Caenorhabditis elegans: one gene and its partner. The protein of the gene in region 2 purifies or fractionates together with the protein of the main gene of each other region. This does not show direct contact. Each region holds a gene or a part of one and is shown on either strand. Other genes may lie near its edges. The genes, in order: Y54E5A.2 and Y48B6A.13.

Evidence for each region.
Region 1: the proteins of Y48B6A.13 (region 2) and Y54E5A.2 fractionate together in Caenorhabditis elegans (co-fractionation; one large-scale study listed by BioGRID). This does not show direct contact.

The regions. Positions count from the first base shown.
Region 1 is NC_003279.8:14,691,225-14,701,352, reverse strand, and holds Y54E5A.2 (Recep_L_domain domain-containing protein), read right to left. Parts: upstream 7,200-10,128; 5' UTR 7,184-7,199; coding exon 7,114-7,183; intron 7,039-7,113; coding exon 6,764-7,038; intron 6,033-6,763; coding exon 5,801-6,032; intron 4,910-5,800; coding exon 4,815-4,909; intron 4,769-4,814; coding exon 4,651-4,768; intron 4,178-4,650; coding exon 4,006-4,177; intron 3,913-4,005; coding exon 3,885-3,912; intron 3,409-3,884; coding exon 3,230-3,408; intron 2,598-3,229; coding exon 2,495-2,597; intron 2,448-2,494; coding exon 2,350-2,447; intron 2,104-2,349; coding exon 1,852-2,103; intron 1,368-1,851; coding exon 1,306-1,367; intron 1,148-1,305; coding exon 1,053-1,147; 3' UTR 961-1,052; downstream 1-960. Other genes in the region: npp-4 (Nucleoporin p58/p45), read left to right, coding at 1-43; ttm-5 (Putative sphingolipid delta(4)-desaturase/C4-monooxygenase), read left to right, coding at 9,639-9,743, 9,796-10,096.
Region 2 is NC_003280.10:14,218,997-14,228,566, forward strand, and holds Y48B6A.13 (Diphosphomevalonate decarboxylase), read right to left. Parts: upstream 7,280-9,570; 5' UTR 7,264-7,279; coding exon 7,072-7,263; intron 4,916-7,071; coding exon 4,535-4,915; intron 2,649-4,534; coding exon 2,260-2,648; intron 2,198-2,259; coding exon 2,026-2,197; 3' UTR 1,943-2,025; downstream 1-1,942. Other genes in the region: men-1 (Malic enzyme), read right to left, coding at 7,595-7,732, 9,342-9,570.

The DNA of each region.
Region 1 (10,128 bases), on a different chromosome or scaffold from region 2:
TGCTAATAATTCCAGTGGTCTTTTGTTCAGTTCAAAGAAATAATTATTTATTTTTTTATTTCATGATGACTGGTTTTATTATTTAATTTGTGAAATATTTATTTTTTCTGATCTTTCTTTCGATTCCTCACGCTTTTCCTGTTCTTACCCTATTCTTACATTAAGCTTATTCGATTTTAATTTTACATTGTCTCTACACAGCAAATTTTCCCATGAAATCTGATTTTTTGTAAAATTTTTGAATTTTTCATCAAAAATTAAGGTACTATAAGGGTATTGAAGGATTACTGTACGGGTACTGTAGGGATACTGTAGAATTATTGTAGTTTGGGAAATTTGAATTTTTAGCTTTAGTAGAGGTATTTTGTTGGGAGTTGGTGGGGATGATGTTAAGGTACTGTAAGGGTACTGTGGGCTTACTTTAGTTGTTTTGTATGATTACTGCAGGCTAAAAATTGACCTTTTTCAGAATATAGTAGTTTTGAACATTTTCAGGAAAATTATTTTTTTGCCCAAAATAAAAAAAAAGGACAGTCATTAGAAAATTTGGGCAAAAATAAAAAGTTGTCTAAATTTGTTGAAAACGGGTAATTCATACATGCAAAATTCAGAAAATCTAGGTTTAGTCCGTCAAAAACTATTAAAAAGTGGCAAAAATGGCCAATTTATGGCAAAAATTCACAATTTTGAAACTTCACTAAAACGGGCAATTTTGTAGTTAGAGGACTCAAAATTGATTTAGGATCACTAAAAAATTGCCCTTTTTCAGAATATAGTAGTTTTAAACATTTTCAAGACAATTATTTTTTTGCCCAAAATAAAAAAAAGGACAGTCATTAGATGGCTGAAAAAAATTTTGGCAAAAATAAAAAGTTGTCTAAATTTGTTGAAAACGGGTAATTCATACACGCTGAATTCAGAAAATCTAGGTTTAACCCGTCAAAAACTATTGAAAAATGCCAAAAATGAGTCATTTATAGTAAAAATCAAAAATTTTGAAACACCATAAATTCATCATTTATTTATAAAATCCGAGTTCTCTCGACAATGTACTAGTGTGAATTAACTGATTTAAGAGTTTTCTCCAAACGCCGTGTCTTCTCTCTGTGCATTAAAATGACGGCAGTGACGAGAAGCAGGAAGAATGCTGAAAATGTTTTATTATTTTTGAGCTGATTCTTTTTTTTTGAAATTCAGCATTTTACTTTCATTAGACGCGATAAGTTTTCAGAAGTATTAAATTATTGGAATTTTTTGTTGTAAATTCTCACTATTTCAATTTTAATTTTCTTCAAAAACTCTTACCAGCAATTGCCAGCGCCCAATAGAATACAGTATTTTGTATTGCAGAAACCTTCTCGTCAACTCTGAAAGTTCGAAATTTGTTATCAAATATATATTCCCCAAAATTCCAAATTCCATGAAAAGCCTCAAAAAATTCTGTAAAATCGATATTTCTGAAATATCCCGAAAATTCTAAAATCAAAAATTTTTTTTAAAAATCGCATTTTTTTGAATTTTTAAACCTTAAAAAAATTTGAAATTTTTCCGACGTTTTTTCGGACGTTTTTCAACTTTTTTTTTAACTATTCAGACTTTTCCAAAAATTATTTGGCAATAAATCAAACTCCAGGAAATTCTGGAAAATCGATAAAATTCCATTATTTTCAAAAAAAACATTAATTTCCCAGAATTTTCCCAACTAGTAGCAATTTTCGAAAAATTCTGAAAATTGAAAAAAATCGAAATTGTTAAATGTTATAAAAAGTTTCAGGGAAAATTGGAAACATTTGAAAATTGAAAATCTGAAAAAGAAAATCTGAAAAATTCCCAAAAAATTTCCAAACTCACTTTAAATTATGAAAAGTGATTCGAACCTTCTTCCGTTCCTTCGCCAAAATCAAATCAATTTTCATGTGCCACGTGGAAAAGTCAAGAATGAGTAGCTCGCCGCCACGTTGCACGGTTCCCTGCAGCAGACACGGGCGGTTCTTATCGTATTTTTTGGGTTTTCGAAGATCAATTCTCCATTTGGCGGACGTGGTTCGCATATCGTGAACTTCTGAATCCATTCGGATACGGAGATGTTGGTGGGCTCCGACGCTGAAAAATCGATAATTTTGCTCCTGATGATGTAAAAGCGCTCTATCGAACAAGTAGGCATTTTTGTGGAATCGATAATAAAAAATCGATATTGTTAATATCGATTGTTCCAGAAAATTTTGCGATAGAGCACAATTGCATCCGATTGACAATAATTTCCTAATCAAATTTAAACATGATCGAGTCCTTATCAATGTCTCCCATTTTGCAATTGCGCTCTACTGAACTAAGGAAGCAAAAACCCACGTCACTTTCATATTATCCATTCCAACGAGCACATCGATAAATTGCACTTGCTGACACGAATCGGAAACTTGCTCCTCGGATTCCACGTGGACGTCTTCCTAAACGTAGGTATGCCTACATGCCTGCCTGTCTACACTGAACTTACCATCGAAATATTGTGGCACTTGGCCCACTCGTAGCAATTCGTCTTTTGAATATTCGACTTGCAGGACTCTAATTCGATGAACATTCCAGACGTGAATTTGTGCCTGGAAACAGCAGTCGTATCAAAAAAACTGTTAATTGCCAAAATGTAGAGAATTCGATTTCCTATATTTTGTCCATTTACAAAATTTCATTAGCTTTGCTTTCCGCAGAGTTATAAGCGTTTTAAGTTTGCAAGGTAAGTGAGAGAGTGTGTGGCGAGGGGAGAGCGCAGACACCGCAGAAACTTTAAAGCGGTGTATCTCAAAATTGAAAAATGCTCAGAATTTCATGCTCTACAAGATGGGCGAAAAAGATTTTGAAACTTTGGAAAAAAAAAAGTTTTTTAGCATTTTTGAGAAAAATTTCAGCGGGCTTTATCTCGGTGGTAATAGGAGCTACATAAAAGTTGTCAACTAACAATTTGTAGAAAATTTTATGTAGTTTATTTTATTAATTAAAACAAATATTCTGCCTCCCACCCACGCAAAAATACACCTGTTTTTATGATTTCTGTAGCTCCGAATCCGTAAGAGCTACAGAAAACTTGTCAACTAGAAATTTCAAGCAAATTTAAAGTAGTTAAGTTGATTAATTGATACTTTCTTCGTATCTCATTTTTGCGCAAAGATATGGGGGTTTTAAAGAAGCTTTTAACCACCTCCCCTCAAAACCTAAAAATTCCCTTTCAACTTACCCAGCAGCCTTGTTAGCTACAATGAACTTTGGCACCAAATCACTTCGGATATCTCTTAAAATATCCTCAAGCACAATTCTTTTCAACAATGACGAGAACAATGGAATTCCCTGATGAGCATACGGAGGGATTGAGAGCAGTCTGTGAAGTTGGTTCAGTGACTCGCTGGGTTGGTTGGGCTGGAAATTGAAATGGTGAGAGGTGATGGGAATTGTAAAACGAACACTTTGTAGAGAATTTAATTTTCTACAAGTTGCTATCATAGATAACAACTTTTTGATATCAAGTATCTGAACGGGATTAGACAGGTTTTGGGCTAGTCTTCTGGGGGAAGTGAAGCGCTATCTCAAAACTCCTATAACTCGGAGAATTTTGTAGGTGCCAAAAAGTAGTTAACTAAAAGTAGTTAATTCTATAAAGAATCTAATTTGCTACATTTTGCTAGCTAACAATACTTTGAGATCTTACATCTGAACGGAGCTAGAAAGCTTTCGAACTATCTTGGAGGAACTCCTGTATCTCCGCAAAGTTACCTAGCTATCAAAAAGTTGGTAATCTGTAGAGAAATTAATTTCCTACAACTTGTCAGTTGATAACTATTTGGTAGCTTGTACTATTACAAAGCTACAGCCACTTCAAATAACTTCCATCTTACCTGCGCTTCCTTTTCCATTTTCCACTTCCTAATCGACAAATGCCCAACTCGGGTGCGAGCGGAATATTGATTTTCATTGAAAATTTTAAATATGTACTAAAAATAAGAGGTGAAAACTGACCAATCACTAGCAGTCTCATAATCATGTCCACAGATTGAGGTGGGACAGCAGCACGCCGAACAGCAACCCCAATCATCCCAGGAGATGAACAATTGAATATTGTTCTTAGTGTCGTTCACAGAGTTTATTGAAATTTCCAGAGACTCGTAGTTTTCGTAGGTGAAGATTTTATCTGAAACTGTATTTTCAATGGAATTCTCTATATTTTGTCATCTGTCAACTAATTGCCAGAATTTTGATATCTTCCTGATAAATTAAAATGAAAGGGTTGTTAACTAGGGATCCATAAAGAACGTTATATGGATTTTGGAATTTCTGAGTTTTTTCCTTAAAAAATGATCACACGAAAAAGTTGCCAACTAACAAAATATGCTCATTAAAATTCTATACATTTCGGCAGTTGACAACTCTTTGATAGCATTCCTCTGCGCAAAGTTACAAGCTTTCAAAGTTTTCCCAATGCGAGAGTGTAGAGGAGAAGGAGAGCGCTGGCAGTGTCTGCACTCTCCCCCTCCTCCGCGCTCTCTCGCTAATAAAACTTCAAAGCGGGGTATATCTCGGCGGGGAGTAGAGATAGAGAAATCATGGAAAACGAAGAAAGAATCAGAATTTGAATTTCTATACGATAAAGTCAATAAAGCTTACCATTCTGCTCTCCGTCCCCAATAATATCCTCATTCACAAAGTTATAGCTGCTCACAATTTTACCATTCAACTCAATTCCACACATTGTAGTAAATCCTTCAATTTTTCGAGAATGAATCTGTAAATTTTTGAGTTTTTCAGAGAGTAAAGTCCTGGAAACCAACCGCCAGCTCTCCATTGGGGAGCCCTATAGCTTCTCTGTCGGTTTCAGTGGCTCCATGCTCTCCACTCCATCTTGTCACCTTTCCAAAATGCAGGTCTGTGGAAGGTGTAGTTTGGCAAAAGATATAAAAAGGAAAACGGCGTCACAGGGACTGGAATCAAAAATGTGCTCACAATAATTTTCAGTTAATTTGGCTCAATTTCGGGATGATTTACAGATATAAGCTAGTTCTAGATAAACTATACAAGCTTCAAAAGTACTAAGCTTAGGGTTTTTAATGGTACTACATTATTTTAAGTATGATGAAGCTATTGTTTATGGTGCATGATTTGTGGATTTTTAAGCAAAATAGCCTGTAAAATTTTGTAAAGAAAGCTCCATCGGCTGCTCAGATACGAGCTTAAACACCAAGTGGCACCAAAAAACTTGCTAAAAGCCATTTACAACTTAAAAAAATAGCCCGCTCAGTAGCTTCATGTCGGGCTTAAAGGTCATAAAAAGTTGAAAATCAAGCTTTTGCAGGTTTCCAGTTATTTCGATGATATGAAAAACAAAAATTACACCACCAAATTACTACATTAAATGTATTTTTGAAACTGAAAAATTTTATGCTTCTTGAAAAAATGAGAATTTTCGGCGAAATTGTCGAAAATCGCAGGGGGGGGGTCCCATAGCAGTTGGGCGGTCGATTTTTCAACTTTTTGCTCTTTTGCACTCAACTTTTGAGATATCATGATAAAATTATAGATCCATAGGTTTTTTGGTATGCTGATTCCAATTCCAATACTAGTTTTCTATAAAAAAGTAGCTGTTGGGTGCACTGTACCTACTAAGCACCTTAGGAGTACCCTTGAGAGATAATGAAGGCTTGTGATATGTATGCTATGCTTAACTAGACTCATTGAATTCAGAAATAAATTTCTGATACTTTGAGGGTAATTTCAGCTAGTTCGTCTAATTTTCAGCCAAGTTAAATAATACACTCACTATTAATTCTCAAGTAATCCTGAAAATTCGAGACACGTGGCTCCTGTTCACAATCCTCCCGACTACAATAGTGCAATAAATTATTGATTTTTCGAGAGCCGATCGTCAATTTCGTGAAAATCTGAGTGAAATCACGTTCCGGGAATACGTAGTACATTTGATGGAGACCTTCAATTATCGGATGACACGTGGCACATTGCGGTTGGTACGGGAGGCCCGCTTCGCGAGTTTTCTGCAAAATAACGTTGATTTTGATGCAGGGGCAGCGTTTTCTGGAGAATTTAAATATCGGGGGAAGGCGATCTCAAAAAAAAAGGGGCGGGAAAAACAATTGAAAATTTACGCTCCGCCCCTATAACAGGTCTAAATTTTGAACTTTTACACTCAAATCTACAAAATTTTATAGAAAAAAAACGGTTTTTTTCATGTGAATAAGCCCGCAAAAGATAATAAAACACGTGGTCAGAGTGTCCCATTTCGGTGTGATCTTCAAAAAATGCGGGAATTGAGTCGCAGATTTCTCAACAAATTTTGTAAGTGTGCTGGCGACACATTTTACTGGGCAAAAAATTTCCGCATTTTATTGTAGATCATTCAAATTTACGCTACGCCTCTATAACATGTCTAAATTTTGAACTTTAACACTAAAATCTACAAAACTTTATGGAAAACGCCTGACACCACGTGTAAAAGTGCGCTTCACCAAATTTATTTTAATCATTTTTTTTTCTCTTTTGCTCATGAAATGAATTTGCTCACTAGAAACATATAAAATCTAGCAGAAAAACAGCTGCATTTGTCTATGATCTTAAAAATTGATTAAAACTGGTCTTGGCACGATTCGCGAGTGTGCAAACGCGCTCCACCGAACTTTTGCCGTTTTTATAGATTTTTAGGCCCGAAAAGCTAAAATTCAACAATATTATATAAAAATTATCGAATAAATAGAAAAAAAAATTAAACCTGAAAAATGCGAAATCCAATATTAAAGAACCCGTTAGAATCACACAATTCCTTTGATATATGAGGAATTCGAAACGCCGGATTCGATATAAAATATGGTAATTTGTGATAAATCGTCTGATTCCCATTTAACCATCCCAGTGAGTCGAATTCCAAGATTTTTCCGTCGAATAGTATATTGTTGTACTTGTGAACGTTCAGGTAATTCTCAAATCTCCACGTGTCTTTTGATAATGGAATTGAGGAGTACAGGGAGTAGAGTTCCGCTCGTCTTTCTGAAAAAAAAACAGTAGATTTGAGACTTTGCAGAAAGGGGCTGCAAACGCGCTCCAGCGAAGAGGTCTCCTTACCAAACTCGATAACAATTCCATGCACTGTCGAAAAAAGCATAAGTTTCAGAAAATTGAACAACAAAACCATGGTTGGTTTGGAGAAATGAAGCAGATTGATTTTTCAATGGATTTAAAAAGTTTTTACGTGATAAATTATTTTTAAAAACATATTTTTTAAATAAATCGTATCGAAAATTTAATTAAAAATTAAATATACCCCGTGAAATTCTCTACATTTTGTTAGTTAAACACTTTTTGATAGCATTTCTCTGCGTGAAGTTGTGAGCGTTTGAAGTTTTTTGGGGTGAGAGAGTGTGGGGGAGGGCGAGAGTGCAGAGAGATATACTGCCTGCACTCTCCTCTCCCTCCACGCTCTCAACACCGAAACTTAGAAGAGGTGTATCTTTGCAGAGAGGAAAGATACAAAAATATTGTAAAAAGGAAAAATGTTCAGAATTTGATTCTCTATATATTGCAATAAAAACAAATTGTTCGGAGTTTTTTTTAGTTTCTTGTTTTTTTTTCCTGAAATTCAAACTAAAAAGTGTATTTGAGCAGTGTTTTGCTCTACAAAGATATTCTGCATTTATTGGGTAAGAGCCAAAAGTGCCATATCTAACCGGAAGCTTATTCTACCAAATTTTACTTAACTAACAAAATATACGCCTTGAAATTCTGTACATTTTTGCAATTTACAATATTTTAATTGCACTCCTCTGCTCAAAGTGACAGGCGTTTTAAGATTGGCGGGTGAGAGAGCGCGAGGGAGGGGGAGAGTGCAGACACTGCCTGCGCTCTCCCCCTCCCCCACACTCTCTCACCCGCCAAAACTTCAGCGTGGTGTAACTCGGCGGGTAGGAAAGATAGAGAGGTAGTGTAAAAGACAAGAATGTGTAGAATTGGATTTTCTACTGGATAACGTTTTGAGTTTTAGCATTTATGAAATTTATGAAAAATGAATGTTTGAATTTGAATTTTCAATTTTTAGTTTTCCAAATGATATTTCATAATGTTTCCGTCTAGTTTTCATTATCAATTTCCCTATACTCTACTGTCTGAAACTGTTTGTTTTACCACGAAAATGACCAATACCTAGTGAATCATTGGAAAAAAAGAGCATCGCTTCCCTCTCCCGTCTCGCTCTCAAAACACACACACACACAGTTCCTTCCTTTCTATTTGCATGTATAGTTGCATTCTCTACGCAATAAGTCCACCTTTCCGTATGTGTGTGCTCCAAGAGCAACGGAAACTGGATTCAGGTGGTTGCTAACCAACCAATTTCCCCCTCTGGCTTTTCATCCTATAAGGTTTCCAATTTATCACTTTTTGTCTCAGAGAGCATATGTGCCTTTGAATTTATTGAAAAATATAAATTTTTAGTTTGAAAATGTGCAACCTTTGCTAGATGTTTTGCTTTAAAAAGCACTCGCGCTATTTTTTACTTGTTTGTGCGTGGTTTTACGAATTTTTAACTAAATATTTCTTAAGCCCCCTATATCTTCCTGAAAAATGAAGATATCAAAATTTTCTCAGCCAACAAAATATTCTCCTCAAAATTCTCTACATTTTTGCAGTTATCATTGTTTCTCTACCTCTTTTTTCCACAGAGTTACACGCGTTTCAAATTCGACGGGGTGAGAAAGTGTGGGGGAGGGGAGTGCGCAGACACTGCGCTCTCTCCCTCTTCCACACTCTCTCGCCTTCAAAACTTTGAAGCGGTGTATCTCTGCAAGTAAGATAGGTAGAAGCATACTGTAAAAGCAAAATTGTGTAGAATTAGATTTTCTAAAAGATTGTAAAGTTTTGGAAATTTTTTTTTTTTTAATTAAATGTTTTTTTTTTCAAAATTTTCAAAAAGTTACACCACTTCTCAATGTAACTCAATTCCAAATTCCTCTTCAAGTCTATCCAAAGATCATATTGTACCTGGATTGGAATGTCTCTATAGTCCCTGCGCACTCTTTGCTCTCAAGAACAAATACATCACTACGTGTGCCTTATAGTCTGTTTCTCTGCTGCTCTCCTGCTCTCTCCTTTCCTGATTCATCATATTCGTGTTCTTATCATTTTTAAGACGTGATCTTATCACACAAAAACTGCCCATTTTAATGTGTTCCGAAAGAAAAATAACCGCCCATTGATTTTCTTTTTGTGCAGGAATTTGTAGAGGTGATTTACACGGTTTTTTTTAATTTTTATTACTGGAATTTTGAATTTAAATGGTTTTTTTTGTCAAAATTTAGTTATTATTAGTTTTTGAAAATTTAACAAAATCAAACCCCCAAAAAAATCATTTCACAAAATTTGTTTCAAAATTTTCAGAATTCAATTCACTCCTCTTGTAGAAAATCCAATTCTACACAATTTTTCCTTTTACAGTGTTTTTCTATCTTTCCTACCTGCCGGGATACATCTCTTCAAAGTTTCTTTAGCGAGAGAGCGTGGGGGTGGGGGAGAGCGCAGGCAGTGTCTGCACTCTCCCCCTCACCGCGCTCTCTATTTAAAATTTCTACTTTTCAGATCTCAAAACTGCTCTTAAAATGGGGCAATCAGTGAGTCGAGATGATTTTATTTGGACGTTAACAGAGCAGCCACATATGAGTAGACGAGAGGAAATTGTGAAAAAGTACCCAGAAGTTAAAAAGGTGAGTTTATATTTTAAAACGTATGAGCATTTTCTGAAACTGAAAATTTTAGCTATTCGGCGTTGATCCATCTCTAAAATACGTGGTGTCTAGTTTGGTAATATTTCAAATTTTTATGTGTTGGTTATTACAAGATGCTGATTGGATATTAATAATACTTGAAGCCTACTTTTGCGGTGGAATAATCAATCACGCAATGACACTTGCCATCCATGATATTTCACATAATACGGCTTTTGGTAATAAGTACCCATTGAAAAATCGATTTTTCGGAATGTGGGCAAATTTGCCGATTGCTGTGCCGATATCAGTGTCTTTTAAGAAGTATCATGTGGAGCATCATCGATATTTGGGTAAGTCCATTGTGTAAAAAATAAAATTCTGG
Region 2 (9,570 bases):
AGAACTAGTAATTTGAACGTTTTTAATGCTAGCTCACGTGAGACGACTCAAAATTGATGGCAGAACCCTAAAAAATGACCCTTTTTCTATTTCTAGTGGTTTCCAAAAAATTATTTTTTGGCCAAAAAAAAGGACAGTCATTTGATGGCTGAAAAAACAATTGGGCAAAAATAAAAAGTTGTCTAAATTTGTTAGAAACGGGTAATTCATATATGTATAAATCAGAAAAACTAGATGAAACCCGTCAAAAACTATTAAAAAGTGGCAAAAATGGCAAAAAAGTGGCAAAAAATCACAATTTTGAAACTTCTCTAAAATAATTCATTTTGTAGCTAGATGACTCAAAATTGATTTCAGAACCCTAAAAAGTTGTCTTTTTTAAAAATATAGTAGTTTTAAACATTTTTAGAAAAATAATTTTTTGTGCCGAAAAAAAAGGACAGTCATTAATTAGATGGCTGAAAAATTGGACAAAAATGAAAAGTTGTCTAAATTTGTTAAAAACGGGTAATTCATATATGCTGAATTCAGAAAAACTAGGTTTAACCCATCAAAAACTATTAAAAAGTGGCAAAAATGGGCAATTTATGGCAAAAATTCACAATTGTTAAACTCTTATAAAATGGTTACCGGCTTCCAATGCAATAGGGCGCAAAAAAGGTATATTAAAAAATATGCATATTTCCAGAATCCGGCACCAAATGAATACCAACTACCCACCACCACCCAGCCACGATCACCATGGCCATTAACTCTTCCAAGAGAAGTAAAACTTATTTTAAGTTCGTGTATCACGTATCCATATGCGAGTGAGAAAAATCGCCATATTTTACGCGCAAAAAGCACCTGCGTCTCTTTTTCTCGCACGCTGTCTAACGCCTATGCAAAACGCCTATGGTGAGAGAGCGTGTGGAGAAGAGAGAGCTGGCGTTCTCATCAAATCATGGATACGTAATAATCAATTGTGAACGCCAAAAAATCTATTACGGGAACACAAAATTTGAAGAATGCGTATTGCACAACATATTTGACGCGCAAAATATCTCGTAGCGAAAATTACAGTAACTCTTTAAATGATTACTGTAGCGCAATTTAGAAAATTTTGAAAATCGAAAAATTCAACAGTTTTCTGAATTAAAATTTAGTTAATCAAATTTAAAATTATTCAATTATCAATATTCTATCGATAAAAAAATTATTTTAATCCATTCGATCCCGTAAATCGACGCTACCGTAGTTTTCGCTACGAGATATTTTGCGCGTCAAATATGGCGTGCAATAATGGCAATAAATACCTGATTTTATATGTTCTCAATTTTGGTACTTGTGTATTATTTCCCCTCATTTTAATATTATCCATTTTAATGAAGATAATAGAAATGTCCTAAATTGAATTTTTTCCGCGGATATAACTTAAACTTTCGAAAAAAATCTGTTTTTTAGAATTGATTCTGAGACAACACACACTTATAAATAATTACGAGCATTATAATTTTGAGTCTTCTATTCACTGAAATACATGTTTTAAAAAAAAGATAGTAGAAATGTTCAAAATCGAATTAATTTCAAACAAAAAAATTTTTTTCTCCGAGCTTTTTAAAATTTTCAGACATGGCTCTGAGACAACACAAACTTATAAATAATTACGAACATTATATTTTTGAAATTGTATGTCACTGAACTAAATTTCAAACAAAAAAAGAGAGCATAGATTTGTCAAAAATCCAATTTCTACGAACTTTTTAAAATTTTCGAAAAAAAATCTGTTTTTTCAGACATGGCTCTGAGACAACACAAACTTAGAAATAATTACGAACATTATATTTTCGAAATTGCTCCAGTTGTTGAGCCGCTCCGATCTCTGAAAATTCGTAGAGTTTTTATTTATTTTTTTCAGAATTGTTTTTTATATTTTTTTTTGTATATTTATCAACAAATATTAAATATCAAATTAATTCATATATTCTATCTATATTTAAAAAACAATAAAAATTCAACAAGAACAACAATAATTATAAAAGATTCCTATTCCTGAGGCCCGCCACCCATTGGGCTCATAATTAATTTGGAGCATTTCGTCGTCGGCTCCGCTGGGACGTCAAATTGCTCGGCGAGCTCTTTTCCAATGACTTGTAGATCTTCTGAAGGGACTTGGATAGTTTGGAGCACAGCTTTCAGGAATTGAGACGCATTTTCTCTGAAAAAAAAATATTTGTTTTTAATATTTTTCCTCAAAAATCAATTTTTTCCACCACCTACTTTTGCACAATAACACACGCATTCGGACCGGCGTCAAATGTATAAGCAGCTCGAATTCCTCCAATATTAAACTCTTCAACTGTGTCGATTAACTGCCACGATGCTTCATTCAAATACCGAATTGGCGGCGTAGAATCCATGCAAACCGCGTGGAATTGATTGCTATCGGCCATGATGACGCGTGCGAGCTGCTCGAAATTCCGTGAAGTATACGCTTCCTGGATTTGTTGGATTCGTTGAGGAACTATCGATTCAATGCGATGCTTGAGAAGTTGAGATGTTTCTCGTGATCTTCGCATTCCTTCACTGGAGCCCACTTTTTTGCGGCCATCGTCGAAGACTAGAATTATGCAGTAGAGATCTTCCCAGTTGGCGGCGGCTTCTGTTCTCTGGAAATATAGTTTTTATTTTTTTAAATTTAATTTTTTTAATTGATTTATTTTTAATTTTCCGTAAAATCGAAATATACAAATTTTTCAAATTTTTAGTTATTTTTTGAGAAAAAAATCGAAACTTTTTTCACTTTTCCAGGGTTTTATTATCTGAAAATTCATTAATTCAGTTATAATCTCTACATTTTTCAGAAAAATTATTATTTTTTAAAACCAGAGGTGATGAAGAGTTATAAAATTTTTCGAAAATTAATTAAAAAAACCATTTCTGGCCGCCAAATTAAATCGGTGGCCGAAGTTTTTCCAATGGTTGATTTTTTAAAGGAAACTTAATACGAGTACACTGAACTCTAAGAATGCGTATTGCACAACATATTTGACGCTCAAAATATCTCGTAGCGAAAACTACAGTAACTCTTTAAATGACTACTGTAGAGCTTGTGTCGATTTACGGGCTTTCGAACAGAAATTCGTTTCGAAAATCGAGCCCGTAAATCGACAGTCATTTAGAGAGTTACTGTAGTTTTCGCCACGAGATATTTTGCGCGTCGAATATGTTGCCTAATACGCATTCTCAGAATTTAGTGTTCCTGTAATAAGTTCCCTTAAAAAAATCAAAACCATTGAAAAAGCCTCGGCCACCGATTTAATTTGGCGGCTGGAATTGATTTTTTTTCAATTTTCGAGTATTTGTATAACTCTTCGTCTGCTCTGTTTTGGTTTTTTCTCATTTTTGGGAAAATTTTCAAATTTTTGATTGTTTCCGCTTTGTGCTCGGTTTTTATTTTCTAATATATGACCTTTTTCACTTAAATTGAGTTTTCAGACGAAAAATTCTGAAAAAGTGAACAATTTTTCTTTTTTTTTTCTCAGAAAATGACTAAAAATGTGGAAATTTTCCAATTTTTGATTTTACGGAAAATCAAAAAAAAAAAAGTTTTTGTAAAAAAATTTCTGAAATAAAAAAAACGGAAAAAAATCCTGATCACTGCAACTTTTTCCTCACGAGGGACGAGGAAAAGTGGTTTCTAGGCCATGGCCGAGGGGCCGACAAGTTTCAGCGGCCATTTATCTTGTATTGTTTTCCGCTTGTTTTCTTTCGTTTTTCATCGATTTTTTTCGTTTTTTCTTAATAAAACTGATAAATAAATAATTTTGCAGATGCTAAAACAATTTCCAAGTAAAAAAAAGTGTATTCAGTGGGCAAGCAGCGGTGAAAGTGGGCAATGTAAAATTATGGATTACGGGAATACAAAACCTAAACTTTTTCTGAAACATGATACATATGCTGCTTAAATGCTGAGACTACCTGATTTTCATAACGAGACCGCTGAAAAAGTTTTGAGGTTTCCAAAATTCAACTTTTTTGGTGAAAAAGTCGAGATTTTCGCACAAAAAGTTGAATTTTAAAAACCTCAAAACTTTTTCAGCGGTCTCGTTATGAAAATCAGGTAGTCTCAGCATTTAAGCAGCACATGTATCATGTTTCAGAAAAAGTTTAGGTTTTGTATTCCCGTAATCCATCATATTGCATTGACCACTTTCACCGCTGCTTGCCCACTGAATACATAATTTTTTTACTTGGAAAATGTTTTAGCATCTGCAAAAAGTATTTATTTATCAGTTTTAATAAGAAAAAACGGGAAAAATCTGTGAAAAACAAAAGAAAACAGGCGGAAAACAAAGCAAGATTAATGACCGCTGAAATTTGTCGGCCCCTCGGCCATGGCCTAGAAACCACTTTTCCTCGTCCCTCGTGAGGAAAAAGTTGCAGTGTGATTTTTAGAGCTTTTTTTGTCATTGTAGAGTAAAAAAAGTGCCAAAATCTCGATTTTTTGCTCCAAAAATTCCAATTTCCACTGAATTTTCTCGACTTCCCGTACCACAGCCAAACAATCCGATCCATCATCCATCTCCCCTTTCCTCCAATGCACCAATCCTCCATACATGCTCCGGCAGGCACTTCCTGATCCAATTCTTGCGAGCCGATTCGCTTGAGAATCATCTAGTCGTAGAATCCGTTGAATTGCCAATGCAATTGCAGCAAATCCGGCGGCCGAGGATGCCAGCCCAGCTGCAACCGGAAAATTCGTAGTCGAGGTGACGTGGAAATGGTAGAAGATCGGCGGAGGATCATTTCCATTTGAATCCGCCGATGATGCTTCTGCTTCTTTTCGTTTCCTCTGAAGTCGGAGAGCCTCATCGAAGACTGTTTGGTATCGTTTGTTGGAGCTCAGTTCCACTGATTTTCCATTTATTTCTACCTGGAAAATGGAGAATTTAGGAATTTTCTGAAGAGTTTTTTGTGGCTATTTTGAGAAATCAGTGAAAAATTTAAAATTTTTAATTCAGGTTCCGCGGAAAATCACGCAATAATTTTTCCTAAAATTGCAAAAAAAATTCAAAAAATAAAAAATTTCAGCTTGAAAATAATTTAATAATTTTACTTCCGAAATGTCGAAAATATATTTTTCAAAAACAAACCCTTATTTTAAAGAATTATAGATCAAGAGTCAGTGGAAAATCTGGAATTTCAGAGTTTTTTCTGTGATTTTCATTATTTTAAATTTGAAAATATCGAAAATATTGGAAAAATCAAATATTCTAATAGAAAAAGTTGTTTAAAAAAAAAACTCAAATTAATTTAAATTCCTGAAAAAAATTGAAATTATCCCAATTTTTTACATTTTTATTCGAGAACCCAAAGCATAATATTTTTCTCGGAATTTTAGAAAAAAGTCTAAAAATTAAAATTTTTACAAAATTAATTTTTTTGAAAAATGTGAAAACATTTAAAGGTGGTGTAGTCGAATTTTTTTAGTGCTTTGTTAGACTCAAAATTGTCTGAAAACACCGAATTTCATAATGAAACTTCTTGAAATCTTTTCAGAAAAAAGTTATGACGGCTCAAAAAATGGCTTAAAGTTAGTTAAAATCGGAAACTTGACTTGTCAGCGGCTGGACACAGTTTTTTTTTGAAATCACCGTAAAATTTGAAGTGTACAAGTTGATTATCTCGCGTTTTAAACTTCATTAAGGTATTTTAAAGTCGATGGACGGCGAGTTTTGGCTCAAATAAATTGAAAATCCATCGCCGTCCATCGATTTTTAAATACCTTAACCAAGTTTAAAACGCAAGGTAATCAACTTGTATACTTCAAATTTTACGGCGATTTCAAAAAAGTAAGTTTCCAGACAATTTCCGATTTTAACTAACTTTAAGCTATTTTTTGAGCCGTCATAACTTTTTTCTGAAAAGATTTCAAAAAGTTTCATTATGAAATTCGGTGTTTTCAGACAATTTTGAGTCTAACAAAGCACTAAAAAATTCGACTACACCACCTTTAAATTTTTTCACATTTTTCAAAAAAATTAATTTTGTAAAAATTTTAATTTTTAGACTTTTTTCTAAAATTCCGAGAAAAATATTATGCTTTGGGTTCTCGAATAAAAATGTAAAAAATTGGGATAATTTCAATTTTTTTCAGGAATTTAAATTAATTTGAGTTTTTTTAAAAAATAACTTTTTCTATTAGAATATTTGATTTTTACAATATTTTCGATATTTTCAAACTTAAAATAATGAAAGTCACAGAAAAAACTCTGAAATTCTGATTTTCCAATGACTCTTGATCTATAATTCTTTAAAATAAGGGTTTGTTTTTGAAAAATATATTTTCGACAAAATTATTTTCAAGCTGAAATTTTTTATTTTTTGATTTTTTTTTGCAATTTTAGGAAAAATTATTGCGTGATTTTCCGCGAAACCTGAATTAAAAATTTTAAATTTCGGGAAAAAATTTTTAAAAAAAGAATTTCAGTATAATACAAAATTTAAAAATTTTGCTTTTTAAAGAAAATATTAAATTTTGAATTTTTTAAGGTTTGTTTCAAAAAAAAATCGAATTTTAATTTTTTTTTTTATTAAAAAAAATGGTTTTTTAATATTCAAATTCATGAAAAACTACGATTTTTGTCTTTTTCACTTTTTAAAAATATTACCGAGACGCGAAAATTACGATTTTCGCGCCAAAAATACATTACCGGGTCTCGCCACGACAAAAATTTTTTTGTTAAAAACAAAAGATGTGTGCCTTTAAAGAGTACTGTAGTTTCAAATCAGAATTTATTGATTTTCCCTAGCGGAAAACTATGAAAAATCAATTTTAAAAAATTCTGAAACTACAGTATCTTTAAAGGCGCATCACATCTTTGCATTTTGCATTTAACAAAAATTCGGTCGTTTCGAGACTCGGGGTACCGTATTTTTTGCGCAAAAATAGCAAACTTCGCTTTTTTGGGTAATATTTATGGCATTTTTTGAGGGAAAAAAGTCATTTTTTCTCAAATTTTTCGATATTTTTCATGGAAACCAGATTTTTCAACAAAAAAAATTTCCCGCTCCAAAATTCCGCGCTACCGTATGCTTCCCAACTCCAGGAACCATCCGAATTGTCGTCTCCGCCGTCAGCCGATCCACGGTCAGTGAAATCGAATCATTGAGCGGCAGAATGAGTAGATCATCTCGTTTTCCCCAATACTTGACAAGTGCAATGTTCATCGGAACTCGGACCGTCGCCTCCGCCTCCGCTGCTCCATCGTCTTGGCTCATTCTGGTGGCAAAAAATCTGAAAAATTGCTGGAAAACGGAGTGACCAAAAAAAGCGGCAAAAATCTGGAAATCCAACAGGAACAAAAAAAAACTGGAAAAATGCCCTAACAAGCTAAATTTACATGTAAATTTATATAATTAAATTTTTGTATAATCTAAAAATCCATAGGATTATGCTATACACGTAGACATTAAGAACTTTGTGAAAAAAAAATGAATTTTTAGGGGTAAAAAGGTAAAATAGGGTGTATTTACGCGGGAAAGAGAGATGGAGAGAGAGACTAGAGAAAAATGCGAAAAAAATTGGGAAAAAAAACGATAAAATAAAAGATTATTCCTCGTCCATCGAGGTTCTTCTCAACACTGGAACCGGGAAACCGTGTTTCGAATCCTTGGCTGGCCATTCGTAAGTCTTATTGATCAGCTCATCATACTCAACACTGTACAGGTTCTGGCGAATGAACATTTCCTGGAAAAATTCAAATTTTTTATAAATTTAAAACTGAAAAAAAAGCACAAACTTTTAACCAATTTTACGAAATTTTTTAACAAATTTTTTGAGAAATTGCTAGTTAAAAATTAATTAAAAATTCTCAAAAAATCCCAAAATTTTTGACAATTTTTTAGGGGAAAATTGCGTTTTTTAACTTCTCATTTTCCTTTTTTTTGAGATTTTTTTCGGAAATTTCGGGTTAAAAATTGAAATTTCTCAAAAAATTCCAAAATATTTGAAAAATTTTAAGATTTTTGACAATTTTTAGGGGAAACTATTATTTTTAGAATCAATTTTTCACTTTTATTTCCAAGTTCAAGGTCAAAAAAATCGAAATTTTCAAAAAATTAAAATTTCCCAAAAAAAAAAAGAAGCAAAATTTCTCTTTAAAAAATTGAAATTTCCAGAAAAATCCGAAATTTCCCGAAATTTCCCGACATTTTCAACCCGAAATTCAGAATCAGCATACTTTAATTAACAATTTTCAGCTCATTTAAACGAAATATCGTAGAATCCGGTGCCAAGTACGCAAACACCGAAGCTCTGCGTACTTCTGAGGCTACAGTAACCCGGAAATTTTCAAAATTGAGCTAGAGACTCCAAAAAAAAGACGACTAGGGGCGAAATTTTACGAGGAACTCGAATTTTGCAGTGTCGATTAATCTGCGGCTCGTGTGTACTCCCCGAGGAGAAGTTTGCGTTGTTTTTGCAAGGAAATTCACGTTTTAGGCTAAAAGTAGTCCATTTTTGCTGATTTTTTGATTTTTAACGATTTAAATCACCTAATTTATTGATTTTTTAAAGTTTTTAGTGAAAATAAATGAATTTACTGCTGAAAATGCACTAGAAACCAGAAAAATCGTACTTTCACCGGAAAAAAACCTATGAAAATGAGCAATTCGAATAGTAAATTCGGAAATTCTCCTCGGGGAGTACACGAACCGCGTAAATCGACACACGGTCATATTTTTGCATTCGAAAAAAAATGTGAAAAATTATATTTTCAGCAGTTTTTTTCGGAAAAATCGTCAGAAATAAGTAGAATTTTTCAATTTTAGGCATAAAATTGTCTAAAAATCATTTTTGAAGGTATTTTTCAAAATTTTTTCATGTTTTTCAGCTAAAAATGCTTTTTTCCATGAAAAATTATTCTTTTCCTCGAGGAGTACACGACTCGCGTAAATCGGTACACGGCCATTTTTTGCATTAAAAAGTGAGGAAAATCAATTTTTTCGGGTGGGGAAAAGTCTTTTTTTGTCATTTTTAAAAATGTTTTTCATCCATTTTTCATGTTTTTTCAGCTTGAAATGCTAGGAAAATCGAAATTTTCCCGATTTTTTCCAAATTTCCACTCAAAAAATTGCTTTTCTCTCCGAGGAGTACACGATTCGCGTAAATCGACACATGGCCATTTTTTGCATTAAAAAGTGAGGAAAATCACTTTTTTTCGGGGAAAAGTTTTTTTTTTTGGTATTTTTCAACAGTTTTTCATGTTTTTTTCAGCAAAAAATGTCTAAAAATTGCAGGAAAATCGAAATTTTCCGACGTTTTTTTTTTTCAAATTTCCACTCAAAAACAACCGCACCATATCATCGGGTTTCGGGTGCAAAGTGGCCAAATCGTGTCGATAACAATACTCGCCAACTTCTACGGCAATTTTCACCGAAAGTTCTCGAATATCCTTCAGACGTGGATATACACGTGAATACGTGTTCAACGACTTCTCCGATACGGCTTCGGCGACCATACGGGCGGCCAGAAGGAACAGCTTGTCCGGAATGTTTTTGGTACGGAAGAGGACGGCTCCGAGAGCA